Caenorhabditis elegans: one gene and its partner. The protein of the gene in region 1 purifies or fractionates together with the protein of each later gene. This does not show direct contact. Each region holds a gene or a part of one and is shown on either strand. Other genes may lie near its edges.

Evidence for each region.
Region 2: the proteins of T19E7.6 (region 1) and Y23H5B.8 fractionate together in Caenorhabditis elegans (co-fractionation; one large-scale study listed by BioGRID). This does not show direct contact.

The regions. Positions count from the first base shown.
Region 1 is NC_003282.8:5,666,893-5,671,187, reverse strand, and holds T19E7.6 (SCP2_2 domain-containing protein), read left to right. Parts: upstream 1-1,684; 5' UTR 1,685-1,692; coding exon 1,693-1,818; intron 1,819-1,882; exon of another isoform or gene 1,883-1,903; intron 1,904-2,168; exon of another isoform or gene 2,169-2,267; intron 2,268-2,610; exon of another isoform or gene 2,611-2,631; intron 2,632-2,635; coding exon 2,636-2,794; intron 2,795-3,062; exon of another isoform or gene 3,063-3,087; intron 3,088-3,430; coding exon 3,431-3,520; 3' UTR 3,521-3,641; downstream 3,642-4,295.
Region 2 is NC_003279.8:2,545,767-2,550,130, reverse strand, and holds Y23H5B.8 (T20D4.11-like domain-containing protein), read left to right. Parts: upstream 1-1,731; 5' UTR 1,732-1,803; coding exon 1,804-2,010; intron 2,011-2,798; coding exon 2,799-2,927; intron 2,928-2,976; coding exon 2,977-3,165; 3' UTR 3,166-3,745; downstream 3,746-4,364. Other genes in the region: Y23H5B.3 (T20D4.11-like domain-containing protein), read right to left, coding at 3,978-4,190, 4,268-4,324.

The DNA of each region.
Region 1 (4,295 bases):
TAGAATAGGCATGGACTATCTCCATTCATTCGGGTTGTAGGTACAAAAGTAGGCATTTTCTATCTGAGTTCAATTTCCACGAAAATTCTTCCTTTTTTTGATATTTCTAGAAGTTCACATAATTTTACAAAAATAAAAATACAATGCCGCGGGCTAGAAGAAAGTAGACAAACTATAAATTAAAAAACAACCGTTTTGATGTCATTATACCACTAACGTGAAACAGTGGAAATTTTCGAACGTTCCAAAATCAAGTTATTATATGAAAAGGCAGAAAATGTTTTAAAATGTTCTCTGTAGATTTTATTCGTATGTAGCAATGTATTGGCGATCTGGTATACCTGAAAAACTCTACCATGGAAATCCACACTATGATAGAAAACATTCAACATTAAATTTTTAATCTGAAAAAAGTTGTTCATGTTGTAAGAAATCTGCACACAAACGTAAATAATTTTCAGTTTCAAGAGTGTTTTCAAATTTCGCAATAGATGCCCAAATCTAGTTTCAAAATCCCATGCACTTTGTGTTTTAGTAGAGCTATTTTTATTTAACTTGACGAAACATGAACATTTTAGTTTTTTGTGTAGGTTTTCAGGTTTTTTTTCAAATACTACACTTTTTAATGTTTTACTGTTTCAGACAAAGTAGATAATTTTCAAACAATGTTTTTTAATGTATTGAAGCTAATTTATATCTCAAAAAATGCAATTGTAAATAGACGCCCACACTTAATCAAAGTATCAGAGATCGTGTTTACTTTGAGATGGTTTTCACCAATGTGACGTGGCAAAATGATTTATTTATTTATTTTTCGTTATTTTCACAAGATGCTCGAATTGTGAAGAATTAAAATGATGTAGGGTTTGAATTTTTATTACTGTTTCAAACATTGTTTGAAAATCAATGCGTAATTACTATTGCGTTCTCGGCTTTTTTGAATTTTGAAGTTAGAAATTTGCAAAATAAGAAATCAGTTTATGCTTCCAAAAATTGTGGTTTTTTTTTCTGGATTTTTAGCTATCGAAAATTAAATAATATATATTTACATCAAGAATACAAAAGAATGCAACTTTTTATAAAGTCGAGGCTAATTTTTATATTTAATTTCAAACATTCTAAAAACCCTGGAAACTCTAAATATTTACAAAAATGTAAATAATCGAGTGTGATTTTCTGTGACAAATCCTTCCTTCCAATTCTCTTCTTTTCAATTTAAAGTGCGGTCACTGCCACAGACATCTCATTTTTCACCTCCACAGCCTCCCGGCGGTCACTATTATTCCGATCCTATCTCATTCACTTTTGTTTCAAAATATTTTTACAATGGGTTCTTCTTTTTGCCTCATTCTTTTATTTTTGTTTTGTGCTTTTTATGAGTCATTCCTCTTGAGATGTGATTCTTTTTTTTGGAATGTTTACCCGTTGAGGTACTCTTTGAAACTGTTATTATTACTTTTCTTAACTTTGCCTTGTGATTTCGAATATAAAAGATACGTTATTCGTGTTTCTTGTTGACAATAGTTCATGCTTATCACCGTCCCATTTTTATCAGTTTTATCATTTTATTATCAAATTTAAATCAATCTTCTTCATTTGTTCCTATTTCTTATATTGAAATCTCAATTAATTGAAGTCCATTAGTCTATATACTTTCTTTTAATTCAACTAATGGATTCTTCAGCGACTAAAATGTTCCGAGAGAAAGACGTTTCGACACGACTCATTCGACCGACTATCACTGAAATTCACGTGGATAAACTTGCACTTTTTGTGGAAAGATGGAATCACGATTGGGAAATTGATGCAAGTATTAAGGTAATTTTAAAATTTTACTGTTTCAGAATTTTCGTTTAAAAAAGTATCACGTGACGGACAATGTTAACTGTGGTTCAACTGCCAAAATATTTTTTCGTAATTTTTAGAACATTTTCTGGAATATATTAAGCATATTATGTCTTGCAAGCTGGTTTATACCGATTAATCTTGGAGAACTAAGTATGAGTAGTTACTTCGTTTAATTAATAGAACCAAAAAGTTTCAGATTTTTCAAATTTCTGGTAAATAGCCAAAAAATACGGACTTTGTAAAATTTCAAGTAAACTTGAAATCCTAACTTCGTCGTATGTTCCTCGCATATTGGTCATCTCTCCTTTTTGCAATTTCGGTTGCCTCGTTCGTCGTATATTCGTCGTATATTGCGTCGTACATTCCGGACTTCCTTCTAAATGTATGAGCAAAATGCGAGGAATGTACGATGCGAATTGCCGAGATAGTCATGCAGATAAAAAAAACTCTGTAATGTTTTAATTAATTAGAAATACATAATAAATTATAAAATTACAAGAACAATTTTTCGGTCAATTCCCAAAATTGTAATAAAGGAAAGGCTTTTTTTTTAGGAAATTTCAAAAAATTTGTTTAAAAATTTTCGCTGTGATATTTTTCATTTCAGTACACGCAAAAAAATAGTAGGAAAAAACACCTTCTTGTGACTTTCGATCAAATATTTTTGCAGTCGAATAAATCAAAATAGGTTTAGTAAACAAATTCGAAAAAAATTACTGTTTCAACAACATTTTAAACACTTTCACTAGAAAACATGGCTACTGTACTATGTATTCATTATGTCCAGATTTTCGACGAAGGAATTGCACAATACATGCTGACTGATGTTGAATCACATTACAAATATTTCGCGGCATTAATCCTATCCAAACCAAGTTTGCGGTGCCGAATTGTTAAAGAAGAGCCAAGAGATGAGTTGGAAGAACAGGAGAACCGAATTATTTTGGTGAGACAAAATTAGGTATTAAATTGACAAAAAACAACTAATTTCCTCCAAAAAACCCCCTTTTTTGAATCAGAATCTCCCAAAACGTTTTTTTAATTACCTCCACGATGAGAACTGCAAAACCGATCCACGATTTGCTCCGACCGCTTTTGAAACAATCAAATGAAATGAATGGAATTCGAAAACACTGATCGGTTTTGCAGTTTTAATCTTTTAGAAAACTTGTGATGAAAGATGGGTCACAATTAAACATACAATGAAAATTTAGTCCCGGGAAGACGTTAAACTATTAATAAATGATTAAATCGAAATTGATATAAAAACTTGTTGAAACATGAATTTCATTTTTTTTTTAATAATTCGCACTTTCTGCATTTTGTCAATTTGTAACATCTGGAAGCCTGCCGAGTAGACACAAAACTGCCTGCCTGCCTTTAAAGCTACCTACGCCTGATCCGTGCCTACTGGCAATTATTGGTTTTTTCCGAAGGAAGAAAATTAGAAATTGATAGTTTAAACTGTTACAACTCTATACATCGGATATTATGAAAAATTTAAATCTGAGGCGGTAGGCAGGCGTGTAGGCATGTAGGCATGAGAAAAAATTTTCGCCTATTAAAATAAAATAATTTCCAGCTCGGCGGAGAAAAGCTGAATACAGAAAGCCACGGAAGTATCGAATTTCTAAAAAATGTACTGCACAAACGTGGATATCGATTCGAATAACGACAATTATACATGTTCCCCAATACACTGATGAATAACTAATGCACGTCTCTTGTCTGTACCCTCCTCAATTTGCACCCCCACAATGTTTTATTGATTAAAAAAAAGAATTGTTGAGAACCTTAATCACTGATGTTTTACCAACAACTTTTTCATATTTAGCCTGTTTATTTATTTATTCCGGTTTTCTCGTTCTCTCGTATCTCCATTTTGCTTTATGGCACGGCCTTATAACACAAGTTGAGACACACTTGTGGATGCCGACGCCCAGAGGCCCAACAAACTGAACGCCAGTACCGACAGGCACCGACCCCCAGGCATTGGAAAAAGCATGAGAGAGTTAGACGCCGAGAGATAGAGACAATGTGTCTGCGTTTCTCGGAATTTTCAGATATTTACTATTTACATTGACCTGTTCATGAAAAACTGACATTAAGCAATTTTCAGATTGCATTTTTTGCTTAAAATGATATAAAGTTGAGAACAGTTTTACAGGGAGGCCCTGTTATTGGACTGGGTCTTGCAGCGAAATGTTGTTGTTTGTCTGTAGAACTTTTACGACAAACCAAGATGTTTTATTTCTAGTTTGAAAGTATTTATATTATTAATAAATAAAATAAATTTATTTCAAAAGTTTTGATGGTCTCTAAAAGATTAGAACTGAACAAAAAATTAGTAAAAATGCTCTTTATTGGAAAATTGTCTAATTTTTTTCTCTTTTTTCTGTGCAGCTTTTAAAAATTATCGAGCAAAATTGAATAAATTTAAACTTAAA
Region 2 (4,364 bases), on another chromosome or scaffold:
TCTTCTCGGACTTCTGCTCCTTCTTGAGTCGAGCCGATCTCTGCGATCCTTCCTTTGCCTTCTCCGCCGATTTTGCAGGCACTCCACTCTTGGCCGGTGGTGCCGGAGCGGCAGAATTGCTCTGAAAAGATGGTTGTTACAGTGGCCGAGAAATAACTCTTCCACTCACCTTAATCTTCTTTTGTCGTTTCGAGTTTTGTTGTCTCTTCGAGTTTTGCTTCTTGTCTCGTTTTGATCGTTTCGATCGCTTTGATCTCGCCGATTTTCCTTTGCCACCACGCGAATTCTCACGATGTCCGGTGGTACAGCCGACGGCAATGATCGCTCCAGAAATTGACGCAGCAGCAGCGAAACACACTGAAAAACAAGGAAATTGAGATAAATTGATATTTCCGGCACTTTTGGCAATCGATAATTACCGGCAACTGTCGCCATTGCCTTTAACTATTACGAACCGGCAAAATTGGATTTATCGGCGCTTAGCGGCAACTATTGTTAATTGCCGGCGACTATCAGTAATCAATAAAATTAGAGTTTCATTGCCGGCGGTCAGCGGTGACTATCGTTAATCGAAAAAAAAATCCATTTGTTACAAGTAATGGCTGCTGCCGGCCACTATCGGCAACCGCCGGCGACTACCGGCAATCAATAAAATCGGAGTTATTGAAGATTGTCAGCAACCATTATGACACTTATTGATTTTTGTAGACACGCCGGCAACAGAAGCGGCAATGCTCCGACAACATCCTCGGCGATCGCTCAGCAACCATCGGCAACTTTTCCTAAACTCACGGTAATTCATGGCACCATGGAGGTGCTCCATATCCAAGCTCATTGTGAAGAGTCGAAATTTCGAAATAATTGATTTTTCGCCGAACAAGATTTGTGGTCCCGTGAGTTGAGATTTGATTATTTGATAAGAAAGGTCAGCACGGTCATTGACATTTTTTTAATTTTAATTTTTTTCTTTTTAATATTTTTGAAAAATAAATTTTAAGTAAAATTTTAGATAATTTTTACAGTGGTCTCTTGTTGATCTCGGCTGGAAGAGGAGTGACGTCACAGATGGCCTAAGAAAATGTGGTGTGACCAAGTTTTCCGCCAATTTCTGTTTCAGAAATTTGTTTAAAAATTTTTTTTCTAATTCAACACTAATTTCTCCTCAGAAAATTCAATTTTTCCGCCAAAAAAAAAGTTTCCCAGAAAATTTGAATTTCTCGTCAAGTTTTTTTAAATCAAAAATTTGAATTACCCGCAAATGTTTTTCTTTAAAGATTTCAAGCTCCCGCAAAAAAATTTCTGAGAAAATTAAAATTTTTCGTCAATTTTTGTTCAAAAAAATTGAATTTACTCGCCAAAATTTTTGTTTCAGAAAATTTGAATTCCCTCCCATTAACTCAAACAATTTGAAATTCCCGCCAATATTTGCCACAGAAGATTTAAATTTTCCACCAAATTCCGTTGTTTCAAATTTTAATTCCCCACTAACTTTTGCTCAGAAATTTTGAATTTTTCTGAAAAAAATTTGAACAAATTTGGCATATCCCTTTAAAAAATATAGATGGCAGATAAAAAACTACAAAAAAAATTTAAGTCGATTTTCCCCATCTCTCCATTGGAAAAATCGATATTTCTATACCTAATAAATATGAATCCGTTGACCTCAAAATATTTGTTTTCCCGACTTCAGAGACTATCTCCCGGGAAGATATATCTTCACGGAGACGAGGGATATATCTTTCGATAGGTCATTTCTTCTTCTTCTGCTATTCAATTGTTATTATTCAATATTTATACACCGAAATGGCCAAAATTCTCTTGTTCCTTCTCTCGACTTTCTTCGTTTTTTCCATTGTCTCCGGGCAACAAACAAACTATGAAAATTGTCTCACGAAGCTCAACAAAATGAAGAATATTTTGAATAATTTGAAGCTGGAAACTACGAAACACGGCAAAAATGTGAAAATTGGTAATTTGGAAACATTTTATCATATGTGCATTGACACAACGGTTAGTTTTATTTTTTTCAGCAAAAATTTGAAAAATAGAGTTTCGAAAAATATTGAATTTTCAACAAAAAATTTCTGCAAAAGTAGTAGGTGGCCTAGAAATTCTGCGGCCACCGATTTCCAATTTTTCTCAAATGTAGTTTGTGAACATTAAATTCGTTTCAAATAATGCCAAAAAAAATTCCATGGGAGGCAGGCGCGGTTTCAGGGCCTGCCTTCATCCTGCCCGCCTCAGCCTCTGGCCTCTCAACATTTTTCTACACAATGGCGAGAAGGAATATTTAGCACATTGGCAAATTGCCGGTTTGCCGATTTGCCGGAAGTTTTTAAAGGGATTTTTTCATAAGACGGAAACACTTAAAACTGTGCTTTTTTGAAAATTTTCCCGTTTTCTTTAAATATTTTCATAGAATCTGCTCACTTTTCAAAATATATGTAGGAAAATTTATAAGGTACGTACAAATCTGCCGATTGAAATTGAAATTCTGAAATTTCCTTTAAAAAATTGTGCAAAAGCACAATTTGCCCAAAATTTTCGGCAATCTGCCAATTTACCAATTTCCGGAAAAATGGTTTGGTCGCCACAAGGCGGGCGAGGTAGGCTTCTCTGCGCCTGCGTGGAAGCCTACTGGATAGAGCTTCTGTGATCACAACCAAGAAGTGGGCGGAACGAAAGGCCACGCCCGTTTAACGGCTCCCAAAAAAATTATGAGCATCAGAGGCCACGCCCAAAATTTGGTACATCACTTTTAGTTTTTTTTTGATATTTAAAAAATTAAAAGTTTTCAGAACTGCGTAGAATCAATGGAAATCCCAGAGCTACTAAAAAGTATTTTGAGATTCGGAACAATGTTCATGAGATCCGCCTGTGAAGACTTGGGCTTAAAAGTCGGACCATTCAGTAAATGCATGGAAAAGGTACCTACAAGCTTCTCCGAAAAAGATCCTCTAGAACATTTTATTTCAGACAAAATTCGACGTAACTACTCTGAAAAACACGACGATTGGAGAGGATAAACCAAAGTGCTGGTTGACACCTGACGAGTTTTCAGAGCTTCAACGGGTTGTTCAAGAGCAATGCGGAGATGAAGCATGGGAGGATATGTTGAAGAATGAGGATAAGGTCAAAGTGATGACTTGTGAAAATCAGCCATAATGTATCCAAACGACATTCCGATTCGCGGGGGTTGATCCCCTTTTTATCAAATGAAAAGCACCTATATTGTGTTCATTGTTTTTTTTAACCTTATTTTAACTTTAACCGGGAAACGAAGCCCAACTCAGGATATGGGCGGACTCTCTGTATTTTTCGATGTATCGATTTCCTTTGTTTGGATTTCCGGGATCTTGGTTGAAATTATAAATGACCAGGACATTAAGAAAACATTGGCCATAACGATTTATTTTATTTTTAAAATTCTAACAAACTATCATAAAACTGTCTCTGTTATTTATTATAGTTATTTATTATTTATTTATTATTTATTTATTTATTATATTTATATATTTATTCCACAAATTCAATATGCGAAAAACGAACGAAACCCTGTGTGCCACTAGGTAGGCGTCTGCGCACATTCTGCGCCGATTAATTTCTTTTCTATTTATCGGAAAGTGCGCAGACGGCGTCAAAAAGTGGGGCTGGAGACCAGCCACAGCCCCAAAAGGAGCTCAGCCCCACTGTAGGGGCTAGCTAATAGTGCATCTTTATGTTTTAAATAAAAAGTGCATTCAAAATTTGCGATACATCCATTTTGAGATAGTTTGTGAGCTGATAGCTTGTTTTTAACGATATATGAAAAATTGGTCATTTTTTTCTGCGGCCGACTTGTTGAGATGCTTGCAGAGATTATCTCTAAAATGTTGAGAAGTAGGAAAAAGTTGTCATCTGGTCAACATTTAGTTAGTTGATAGCACAAAATTGCATTATATAAAAGTTTCAAAATTGCCTTCATTCTTCAAACATCTTCATTTCGAATTAGGATTACCTGAAATTTTGATTTTCAAGCTATTACTAGAATTATTTGAAGGCTTGTAGATCCTGTTGCATCCAAAATATTCACGAATAAAATTCTCATTATCCAGCATTTCTTTGACGGCACGGGGGCCGCATATATTTTCTATTGGCATTGTCTTGCATTCATTGTCAGCCTCGAAATACTCGCATGTTGGAAGTTGTGCCTAAAAATCATATATTTGTAATGCAAATGCGCTCCACAGCACGCAAAATTCAAACTTATGTAAAAAAGAAATCTTACCGCATTATTCCAATGGCTTAAGCACGGCCACTCCATTAATGTGATGGCATTTTGAATCTGAATTTTTTTTCAGTTTTTGTCTCTTTTAGTCTTTTTG